Mus musculus: one gene and its partners. The protein of the gene in region 3 purifies or fractionates together with the protein of the main gene of each other region. This does not show direct contact. Links are inferred from orthologs where the notes say so. Each region holds a gene or a part of one and is shown on either strand. Other genes may lie near its edges.

The links. The genes of interacting proteins can lie anywhere in the genome.
Region 1: the proteins of Atp6v1a (region 3) and Atp5c1 fractionate together in Homo sapiens (co-fractionation; 3 studies listed by BioGRID). This does not show direct contact. The link is inferred for Mus musculus from reciprocal best matches to the Homo sapiens genes ATP6V1A and ATP5F1C.
Region 2: the proteins of Atp6v1a (region 3) and Atp6v1f fractionate together in Homo sapiens (co-fractionation; 3 studies listed by BioGRID and IntAct, with this or other methods). This does not show direct contact. The link is inferred for Mus musculus from reciprocal best matches to the Homo sapiens genes ATP6V1A and ATP6V1F.

What each region holds. Positions count from the first base shown.
Region 1 is NC_000068.7:10,077,664-10,081,902, forward strand, and holds the start of Atp5c1 (ATP synthase subunit gamma, mitochondrial), read right to left. Parts: upstream 2,848-4,239; 5' UTR 2,741-2,847; coding exon 2,685-2,740; exon of another isoform or gene 2,050-2,684; intron 1-2,049. Other genes in the region: Kin (DNA/RNA-binding protein KIN17), read left to right, coding at 2,968-3,081.
Region 2 is NC_000072.6:29,466,559-29,470,629, reverse strand, and holds Atp6v1f (V-type proton ATPase subunit F), read right to left. Parts: upstream 2,848-4,071; 5' UTR 2,814-2,847; coding exon 2,656-2,813; intron 564-2,655; coding exon 362-563; 3' UTR 121-361; downstream 1-120. UniProt on the Homo sapiens protein: Subunit of the V1 complex of vacuolar(H+)-ATPase (V-ATPase), a multisubunit enzyme composed of a peripheral complex (V1) that hydrolyzes ATP and a membrane integral complex (V0) that translocates protons.
Region 3 is NC_000082.6:44,104,719-44,108,279, forward strand, and holds part of Atp6v1a (V-type proton ATPase catalytic subunit A), read right to left. Parts: intron 3,170-3,561; coding exon 3,007-3,169; intron 2,326-3,006; coding exon 2,217-2,325; intron 1-2,216. UniProt on the Homo sapiens protein: Catalytic subunit of the V1 complex of vacuolar(H+)-ATPase (V-ATPase), a multisubunit enzyme composed of a peripheral complex (V1) that hydrolyzes ATP and a membrane integral complex (V0) that translocates protons.

The DNA of each region.
Region 1 (4,239 bases), on a different chromosome or scaffold from region 3:
AAAAATCTAAGAATAATATAATATAGCTTAAAACCAAAAACAGTTGTTTTAAAAGTCCCGTCTCTTGGCTTATAAATTGGGGTGTGCAACACTGGGGTACAGCCTTTGCCTGTCATGTTCAAACCCTGAGGTGAGTCTCTAGCACCAGAAAAAATTAAAAGCTAACCAAACAAACAAAAAAAAAAAACCCAAAATCAAACTTTTGATTTGCATAGGCATAGAGAAAGAAAAATAAGAAGAAATAGAGTATATAGAAAATACTAGGTTTGGTTGTAAAAATATAGAAAAGATCAAAGATGGAATATGTGACAAACTATTTCAGCATACCAGCTATTGGACACAGAGACCATTCTATTAATCCCTTCTAGAAATGGCACAACAAAGGCAACACCATTTGAGCTTTGTTTCTTTTTCTATTTTTTCCTTTCCTTAATGCTCCACATGTAGCTAGAAAACCTGGTTTTAGGCACAAGCTTCGCTTGGACTGACACAGGCTCCCATGGAACGTTATGCAGACGGTTCTGAGTTGCACACCCGCCCTCTAACTCTCCGTGCAGTGTATACTTTAAGAGCAGTTATGGTTCTCCTTCCTCTAGCTCAAGACAACTGTCTACACCACAGCTCCATCACTGAATGGCCATGAGGTACCTGACTGCTCACAAATGTTAAAAATATTATGGGGGAAATAGAAATATGGAGTACTGAGTCAAAGGCCAACTTTTAGAGGTTGGCTCTCTCCTTCAATTGCATGTCCAGGGAGCTAGAGCCAGACTCAGGATGGCAAGAGTGAACCTCTCGAGCCTTTAGGGCTAATTTACTTTAATGAACTCCACTCTGAGAAGCTACTGCACCATGTCCCGACTCATCCTCTGGAGGCTGGTACAGAAACCTGCCCTACCCACCATGCTGATGGAGAAGCAAGTGGACTGTGAGAAAGTATCAGCATCTTCTTTGATCATACAGTGTTATTTGAAGACTTCAAGTCGGTAGAGGAAGGAGTTAGACTTGATGCCTATGAACGAATCAGCAGTCTGGAAGGAATGCTGGGAGTGTGTGATGCTACATAGTGTAGAGTTAAGGAAAACACCCAACTAGCTAACTAGTGAACACCTAACCAGCTAATACCTAGCTAACTCTCAAGAAAACATTGGAAGCGTATCAAATTCTGACAGTGGCCTCACTACACTTGACAAAAGAATAGTCTTTTCACACATTGTATACACAAACACGGGAGACAGCTGATGTTTGCTGAGGACCACTGGATGCCAACAAAGACCCTTCACATCTTATCACCTAAGAAGTGCCAACTGGTGCAGGGCAGGCACTCCACAAATATCTACTGGCTGAAGGAGACACAACTGAGAATGCAACTGTTATTGACCTCCATATAAGTAACTCAAGCTGACTTCCAAGGTTAATCTAACAACATCTGAACGAACACACACACACACACACACACACACACACACACACATTCTCTGGAACTCCTTTTGCAGACTAGGCTGGCCCAGAACTCAGACACCCACCTGCCTCTGCATCCTGAGTTGCTGAGATCAAAGGTGTGCACCACCAACATTCTTCCAATACATAGTTCATATCTATCGTATTTAATTGCCTCACTACTTTGGAGTCTTAGCATATTGCTACAAATTCTTTGCTTAATGAAAGAACTATTTCAACTAGTTCTTGGCAGTTCTCTAACCTAGGTTACAAAACCCTAGTTCAGTGCTGGAGCGCCTTAATAATCCTCTGTACCATAAAAACAAGGAACCACTAAAACACTGTCCACAGTTAACAATCTCCTTAGCACCAGTTCTTCTAGCAGTCTAGCTTCAAAGTAGTTCATGTTATTATACAACGTCACCCATAAGTCACGTTTTACCTGACCTTCCCTGGGCATTCTAATATACAACTATTTTATTTTGCACAGAGGATTAGTATTTAAAGTCGCCCAACCTTATGGTATCCCTTTATCAAATGGAGGCTAACAAATGTAACTGTATTAAGGCCTCCTCCTCCTACCGAGGGACCTTGGGACAGTTTTATGACCTTGCAGAGATTGTACTTCAACACGAGGGCATGATGACAATGGCAATGTCTTTCTCTTCCTCATCGGCAGATTTTTTTAAACCCCTTTAGCACCAAGGCGACCAGCAGGTTCAGGCGGGGGCTGATTTTGAGTTCCTTCGTTTCTCCAGTACCCAGCAAAGAGTCGGATGGCTACACAGTGAATGCCTTACCAAAGAGCTCAAGCAAGCCATCACACCTTAAAGGGTCACGCTGCTCCCCCGTGCAGTGTTTCACAGGGCTTCAAAGCCAAAAGTTACAACCAAACGTTCCCCGGTCGCCCCTTCACCTTCAGGGCCTTTCTAAAGACTTTGCAAGCTGTGCTCCCGGGTACGGAGCGGAAGTACGGAGTTGATCGAAACCCAGATGGCTCCAAAGCTCAACCCGAATCCCGTCCGGGTCCCGAGGTCCCGGATGGCCGTTCCAGTCTCAGGGGATCAGACCGTGACCTTGTTCTCTTTGACCCCTACCAGGGGTCCGGCACGCAACCTTCCAGCTCTGCAGACATCCCCGCGGCCTGAGCTGGGGCCTTCTTCCGCCAGGAGTGAGCATGCAGCTCCATCCCTCCTGCCTCGCAGCAAGCCCGAGCCCCCGCATCCCTCCCGATGTGGTCCTACCATTGCGGCTGCACGGCGCAGGCCGACAGCCCGACAACGCTCGCCCGCGAGAACATGGTGGAGCCTTGAAGGTCGGGCAGACGGGACTCAGTGCGCGTGCGCGGGAGCTCAGGCGCCCCGGCCCGCTCCGCCTGCGTCCTCGGTCTCGCTAAATCTCGTGAGCGCCGAAGCCGCGAGTTCCCTGGCCCCACCCATTTCCTGCTGTCAATTTCGGTCCCGCCTGTCCCCGCGCTGAGCCAGTTCCGCTTCCGACCGCTTTGTAGTTGTAGCGCTCAGGGTCGCCATGGGCAAGTCGGATTTTCTGAGCCCCAAGGCCATCGCCAATAGAATTAAGTCCAAAGGGCTCCAGAAGCTTCGCTGGTACTGCCAGATGTGCCAAAAGCAATGCCGCGACGAGGTAAGTGACTCAGGCTGGCCGCGACCCCTCCCTCGGCTTGGAGCCCTCTCCGGCGCAGTCTTCCCCAGCTCGGCGCGAAGCCCTCCAGCTCCACGAGAAGTGGTCGCAGACAAGCACTCACTGATCGCTTACAATCGCTAGGCTGAGCACTGAGGTTTTACATTTAGACTTCCCTGGTGGGGTCGGTCGGTCAAGACGAGGAACTCAAGTTGCTCCGCTTAATAGTGACATGGGCTTGGCCACTACTGGTAAAGTAGAGGTAATAGTTGTACCCACCGGCAAGATTGTCGCCGAGTTTTTTCATGGAGAGAAGAACTCTCCATGACATAAATGCTTCATTCCCGACTTGCTACTGCTATCCTATAGTTTCAGTATGTGGGTTCCCAAAGGTACAGGCGTGCAGTCCATCGCACCTAGGAGTGACCGCTAAGTGTTTTTCCATATTTGCTTACATCATATAGTAAATTATATAAATATATGAATATCAGTATACCTTCACCCTTGAAGACTTAATTGTGTAATCAACATAACAAGTAATCGTATTATCTTTTCAATTAATGCCAAAATGCCACCAATATAACAGAACTAATAAAAATTCTTGTACATTATCTGATACATATTTTTGTTTTAGAGACAGTATCTCAGTATGTAACTTTGGCTGGTCTGGACCTCACCAGGCTGGCCAAAAAACGAGATAGACCTGCCTCTGCTTCCCAAGTGCTGGTTGATATCAGAGATATACACCACCCTACTTTATATTAATACTTTCTTGGTAGTCTTGTGGTGGCGATGGGGACCAGAGAGGTTGTTTATTAAGCAGTGCTACAAGTTTTGTTTAATGTCTTATGTATGCCTGGCAAATGCTCTACCACTGAGCCCTCATGCACTGCGTCATATTTCTGTTATCTTATTTTGGTGTATGTGTTTATGCATGTGTGCATGCTGCACCAAACAGATACATCCATACGGAGATCAAAGGGCCACATGTAAATGGTTATTTCCTTCCAGCTTGAGGGTCCTGGGATTGAAGTCATGTTGTCACATCTGGCACCAAGCGCCTTTAGCCACTGAGCCATCTTACTGACCTTATGCCACCTTCTTAGTAAGTCATCACAGACTGAACCCAGTCCCACTGCCACTGACTGGATTGCAAAACTC
Region 2 (4,071 bases), on a different chromosome or scaffold from region 3:
CAGGTGACCAGTCCTTGAATTATTCCCCCCACCAATTATTCTTCACCTTGCTTTTCCATATTTGCAAGTCTAATGTCCCCCAATGCTGCAACCTTCACGTATCCATACCAGTACCCATTTGGAGAGAATAATTCCTTTAATATCAACAACGATACTATTAACAGCACAGGGAGGAGGCAGTGGAGAAACAGTTGGGCTTTCTTTCTCTACCCAGCCTAGACCTGAACAACCGAACCCCAACAGCTTACGAGCCACTCAGTGAAGAGGAAGGGAGGGGCTGGAAACCAAGGCTTGACACTTAAATAGAGCATGGCAAACCAGGAGAGGCCTGGTGATGAGGAGGGCTGAGGGCTGAGCAGCCCTAGCGCAGGTCTTCAGCGGTGAACATGCCCTTGGCCCTGCGCAGGATGGAGTCTTTGGCTGCATCGTAGGGATGCTCCTTGGACGGGATCTCCAGGACAGCTGGAATGGACCTCTGGTGGGCATCCAGGGCGTGCCGAACCATCTCTGCGATGTACTGGTTGATGAGAATGATGCCAATGTCATCCCTGTTTAGAAATTGCCTGTTGGGGGAGAAGAAGAGGAATTGACAGTGGCCGGAGGTATAAGGCCTTCAGCCTTCTCTTTTCTTGGATGAAGCAACTACACATAGGAGCTCAGAACCACACAGCTCAGGGTTGGAGTCCACACATCAGCTCGTGGAGGGAACTGGTAATGAAGACCAGGGTGCAAGTCAGTGTGTTCTTTAAGCTGCCCCTGTGGAGGAGAGGCAGAGGAGAGAGAAATAGGAGCCCCTCTGTGTCTGCATGAAAGTCTAGAAACACAAGAGCCTTATTAACAAAACAAACCACCACCCACCACCACAAAAAAAAAAATGGAGGAGGAGGAGGAAGAGGAAGAAGAGGAGGAGGAGGAAGAGAAGAGAAGAGAAGAGAAGAGAAGAGAAGAGAAGAGAAGAGAAGAAAGAAAAAGACTAAATGGTAGTGGAGTTCAAGGCCAGCTTGGTCTGCAGAGCTAATTCCAGGACAGTCAGGGAGGGCTACACAAACCCTGTCTTGTAAAACAAAACAAAATTTTCTTATTGATAGAGGTTGAAAGGGTGGGGGTGGCAGGGTGATTCCTTACTGTATACCTTTTGCTTTTTAGTAAATTTTTGAGATAGGGTAAATGAGACCACTGGATGCCTCACATCTATACTGATTAGGGCAGGGGGTGGGCCAGGAGGACATCTGCTGTAAGCCAAAGGCAAGATGGAAAGAGGAAACTCAGCAATGAAGGAATCACCATTTCCAGACAGATACTGTCATTCTGGCCTTCCTCGCATGTGATCACCTCCACACACAGACATGCACACCCATTCAGCTAAGTATTTACTCATTAAAAGTCATTCACTGGGCACCTACTTTGTGTCGAGCATGGAGTAGATTTGGCTTGGTGATTTTAGGACCCCTTCCTGTTGGAAACATGGTAAATCCTTGGAAGTAAGATCTGTCCTCCAGTGGCAATGGAGGTCACTTTACTGGTTTGCTAAGAGATCAGTCTCCCAGGTCAGAGCCTGCCACGCTCCAGGCTGTGGGAACTAGTCTCAGCCAGCATCCCTGGACTGGGCTATTTAGGGGAAACAGGTGAGGGCAGTTTATTCCTGAGATTTGGCATAGTAATTCTAGAAAAGGAATGAGGAAAAAAAATAGAGAGTTGGCACCCTCAATTCTAGTCAACAGTGCACTTTCTGGCTTAAAAGGAATGCCTGCACCCAGTTTTAAAAACTACGACCCAGGGTATGATGTGAAGATCTGAAGTACAAAGTCTTTGGGGAAGGCCATACTTCCCAGATGTTTTGCTTATTGTGCGCAAGACAAATGGAAGCCCCATGGCAGACTGCAGGGAGCTGAATAAACAGAGTGGGTAGTAACTTAGAAGACACAGGTAAAGCTGCTTGTTATCCAAGCCCTGTTACTTGAGTTCAATCCTCAAAGCCCATGGAAAGAAAACTGACTCCACAAGTTGTCTTCTGACCTCCATGTGTGCACACCTACCCACGGACACACACAAACGCCGTAATTAAAAAGAAAGAGTTGACCTGGGTTCTGCCTCCTATGGCTAATGTGCCTGTGCCCTAACCAATTGTCCTTTATTTTTCTCACTAGTAACTGGGAATAACCAGTACCTTACAGGACAATTGTAAGCCTCTAAGATAAATGAAGCGTATACACACACACACACACACACACACACACACACACACGCGCCCACTGTCCGGACCTACGCTGGAGGTGGTTAGTTTTCTTAGTCGAAAAGACTAAGGTTCAGAGAATACGCTACAGAGACCCCGGAAGAGGGCTGAACAAGCCGGTCAGCACTGGCAAGAGGCTCCAGGCGTCCAATTACAGCTGGTGCAGACCATAAGCTCCACTCCCCTCCTAAACTGACACACAATCATGTGATGGGGAAAGTTCGTGGACCTGCGGTAGGCCGGACCCCACTGAGCCCCAAAAGGGAACTTAGATGGCGGAGGCCCCTGCTCAGGGTGGACAGACGACTTCCGGGACCATCCCGGTCCCCATCACCACGTGACACCCAGGTTATCAGGCCACCAATTCTCCCCGTGCTTGTAGCAAGCGGAAGGACCCATTTAGGCCTAACAGGCTACCGTACCTGAAAGTGTCTTCGATCTCATTGATGGTGGTATCCTTCTCCACTACCAGGAAATTAGGGTGGCGGTTCTTGTTTAGCTCCCCTATGCCGCCCAACAGGAAACCAGTCACCGTGTCCTCGTCTCCAATCACCGCGATTAGCTTACCTCTGCCCGCCATCCTGTCCGCCGGGCAGAGCGCTTCCCAAACACCTGTGATGCCCCGCCCCCGCAGAGACCCCGCCCTTCAGTCATGCGCAGTTCCCCGCCTCCCGGGCATGCGCATTTAGCAGGAACTCCGCTTAATCTGCGTACTCTTGCGCCATAGAGGCCAGAAACACAAACCACAGAACTACGTCTCCCAGAAGGCTGAGCGTCACAGGCCTCTCTCTGGCATTCTGTCCTTAATTTCTTCTCTCTTGGAAGAAATGCCTTTTGAACCTAGTGTTATTAGAGACCGAGACTTTAGGGGACATACTTTTTTTTTCTTTCTTTTCAGTGTACGTTAGTTTGGTTTTGGCTTTTTTGAGACAGATGGTTACCTATCTCAGGCCGGACTTGAACTTGCAGTGTAGAAGAGGATAGATCCTATTGCTTCTACTTTCCGAATGCTGGTATTATAGGCCTGCGCCATTACACAAAACAGAACAGTGTGTGCTTGATTTGTTTGACTTAAAAAAAAAAAACATCTTTTTGTTGTTACATTTGTGATTTCGGAGGCAGGTGTAGTGTGGCAGTGGAGCAGGCCACAAGTTTGTGAGGTCATAATACACCCTATGAGAGTCACCTTGAGGTTCATCTGGTCAACCCAGTGCTTTTTTTTTTTTAAAGATAGGTCTCAGGGCTGGAAGATGGCTAGGTGGTTAAGAGCACTGACTGCTCTACTAGAGGTCCTGAGGTCAATTCCCAGCAACCACATGGTGGCTCACAACCATCTGAAGACAGTGTCAGTGTACCCACATATATGAAATAAATAAATCTTATAAAAAGATTTATCCAAATATTAGGATTAGGCCAAACTACCTACCCCCTTTTTTTGGTTTTATTTGGTAGTTTGTTTTTTGAAACCTGCTATATGTAGCCTTTTCTGGCCTGGAACTCAGAATGTAGACTAGGTTGGCCTTGAACTTGCAGCCAGTGGTCCTACTGCATCATCCTCCTGAATGCTGGGACTACAGAAATGCACCACTATTTCCTGTCCATTTGTTTGTTTCAACTCTTGCCTCAGTCTGGGATTACAGACATAGGCTACCATAACTGTCCAAGAACAGGTATTTCCTAGCTGGAAGGTCAAGGTCTGAATCGGTATGATGTACACATGCATGCTAACTATGACATGGCTAACAATTACTGAATATATATTAAATTACCAAAGAAATAGGCAAATGAATGATGACACTATGTAGTGCTGTAGAAACCAAGCAAGGCCTCATGTTAGT
Region 3 (3,561 bases):
AGCATAGGAAATGGTGATCAGAAGGGCTCTAGTATGTCTAATGGAAGAAAAGGTTGCAGATAAAATTCTCAAGTCTTTCAAAATAAAAAACAAATTCAGAGACTGACACGGTTCATGTCTGAGAAAGACGTATCTAAGCTATCAACAATGCCAAATATCCTAAGAAAGCTATGAGACTTAAATTTAAAGAGAAATTCTCCGGACCAAGAAAAGTTACTTCTACAAGGGGGAAAATCATTCTCAGATTTGTGCTCCCAATGTTGCCTGCTTGAATAAGTGTTCTCAGGAAAATATCACTGATCCAAGAAATTTGTTCTCAGCCAAACCACTCTTGCGGTTTGGGTAGGCATTCCTTCTGCTTCAAAAATGAAAAAAGTAAGTATTACTATATTACCCCAGTAGATCATAAATCATGAAGTCTATGAAAGTCAACACATGTTAGTAAAAACTACCAGGCTACAAAAACTACCAATAATTTTAGTTCAGAAACACAACTGTTAAAGGCAAAGGGGGAAAAAAAACTTGGAAACTTATGAAGAAAGCAAGAGTTCAAGGAAAATGAAGATTTTGTGAGTCTTTCTTGCAGAAACTTCCAAAGGACATAGAATAAAACCAGAAATCAAGAAGCTAGCCACAGGGAACACTGGCTCCATTTAGGGAAGGCCAAAGTCTAAATAATACTGGCTCTCTATTTCTAGAATAAAGTAGAGAGTTAATAATTCCTAAAAAAGGCAAAACGAAGGTCCTAAGCACTGAGGCTGAGGGAGCAAAGATGAAAAGTGTGCAACACAGCACATTTCTTATCTTTTATAGCCCCTAAAAATAGTACGTCATAGGCACATAACTATACTTACATATAGTACAATGTTAAAATACAGGTAAATGATACAATTAAGAAGATAAATACATTGTTTTATGAGCATTAAGAGACCTGGAGGCCCATCTAGTGATTGCCATATGCAGGGATACATCCCATAATCAGCTTCCAAATGCTGACACCATTGCATACACTAGCAAGATTTCACTGAAAGGACCCAGATATAGCTCTCTCTTGTGAGACTATGCCGGGGCCTAGCAAACACAGAAGTGGATGATCACAGTCAGCTATTGGATGGGTCACACGGCCCCTAATGGAGGAGCTAGAGAAATTACCCAAGGAGCTAAAGGGAACTGCAACCCTATAGGTGGAACAACAATATGAACTAACCAGTACCCGGGAGCTCTTGTCTTTAGCTGCATATGTATCAAAAGATGGCCTAGTCGGCCATCACTGCAAAGAGAGGCCCATTGGACTTGCAAACTTTATATGCCCCAGTACAGGGGAACGCCAGGGCCAAAAAGGGGGAGTGGGTGGGTAGGGGATTGGGGGGGGGGGTGGGTATGGGGGACCTTTGGGATAGCATTGAAAATGTAAACGAGGAAAATACCTAATTAAAAAAAAAAAAAAAAAGAAAGCCCTGAAAATGCTTACCCATGTGAAAAAAAAAAAAAAAAAAAAAAGAGACCTGGAGGCAGCTGGGCGTGGTGGCGCACTCCTTTAATCCCAGCACTTGGGAGGCAGAGGCAGGCGGATTTCTGAGTTCAAGAGCAGCCTGGTCTACAGAGTGAGTTCCAGGACAGCCAGGGCTACACAGAGAAACCCTGTTTTGAAAAAACCAAGAAGAGAGAGAGAAAGACAGACAGACAGACAGACAGACAGAGAGAGAGAGAAAGAGAGAGAGCGAGCTGGAAGCTTGGGTGCAGCTCAGGAGTGCTTACCTCGAATGTGCTCAACCACAGCAGCAGAGGCAGGGTGGGTGTACAGGGGAGGTGAGGGAGAGGAGCAGTGAAGAGACAACACCACCCTTTGGGGCAGCTCAACACACATCTTACGTTTGGGTCTGGAGATGGCTCAGAGGTTAGGAGCTTCTGCAGCTCTGTCCACAGAACCAAGCTGGATAGATAGCTCATAACTGCCTGTAATTCCAGCTCCAGGACTTGACATCCTCTCTGTTCTCTAAGGGCACAGACATGTGACATAATATACTCCACACAGCCTCTTGCCCATACAATCTTTTAAAAAATGTTGTTGACTTGTTCTCATGATACATATAATAAATCAGATAGTTCTTAAAAGCCAGGAAAGTGATTGCATAGGGTTTTTTTAGAGATGACGTTCTTGGGAAAGAAAAGCTGGGTGCTGGTGTTAAACTCTTCTCTCCCAGCCCCAGACTCACCAGTGTAGATGGAGGCCTCTCTCGCAGCCACAGGCATGTTGGAGGTGTTGGCTACCAGCGCTGTCCTCTTCATGATGGACTCTACTTTCCCATCAACCTCCATGGTGAGCTACGGGTGGGAAATCCGTTAGTGCGTGAGCTCCAGTCTCAGTGTAACTCTAACATTTTACATTTCCCCCCACTTACAAAGACTACAACTTGTTTCTGTTTAATCCTTTCGTCACAATTCCCTAGGACTATCCCCATCATGCCAACCTCCCTGCCCTGTCCCACAGCACTGTCTGACAAACAGGCAATCTCATTTGGACATTTCAAATGGACAAAGGAAATCCATTATTTCATGAAAAAGGACATGTTACTACAGTAACCTAGATCACAGAGCCCACGAAAAGCTTCACATTTAAACGGTCAGTTTCTTAGGGTTTGTTTTTTAGACAGTGTCTCACATGGTCCAGGCTAGCCCTGAACTGACCCTTCTGGCTCAGCCTCCCAAGTACAGGAATTACAGGCCACCATACCCAGTTAAAATATAAATGTTTTTTCTTTTATCCATCTTACTTTTCTCTTAAGTGAGAACAAAGAAGAGAAAATTCTAGGTGTCTGACTTTGAAAAATTCATTTTTCCTTTTTAAAAATATACGGATTAATGAAAAATATTAATTTAAAATTCTTTGAGAGCATCTTGACAACTGAATGCAGCACTCTTTGCCATGGAGCATAAACTGTTGTCAGCGATGCTGACATGCTGCGTCTCCTCTAGACGATTATTTGGAGTTCTCTAGAGACGGACCTCAGGGAAGTCGCGGAGAACTTCTGACATCTCGTTGCCTCTCTCACCGCAGCCGACATAGATGATGACGTCACTGTTGGAGTACTTGGATAGAGACTGGGAAATCACAGTCTTTCCACAGCCAAAGGCGCCTGGGATAGCAGTAGTTCCTCCCTGAACACACCTGAAGGACAACAAACAAAAATTAAAAGAAATGTTTATTATGCTGCTAGCTTGCTAATGTATACTGCTAAACAAAGTAGGCAACTGATGTAAAAATACTCTGAAACATTTCTATACACATAGAATATATTAACATAATTATTAGCAGCTCATTTGTGCCTAATAGCATATGTCTTAAGGTGGCTATAAGCCAGGTGTGGTGCTGCACGCCTTTTATCCCAGCACTCATGAGGCAGAGGCAGGTGGATCTCTGTGAGTCTGAGGCCAGCCTGGTCTACATGGTGAGTTCCAGCACTACATAGAGAAAGTATGTCTTAAAAAAAAAAGAAAAGATGGATGTGGCAGTTCTTGCCTATAGTCCCAGCATTCGGGAGGCTGAGGCAGTAGGGTTAC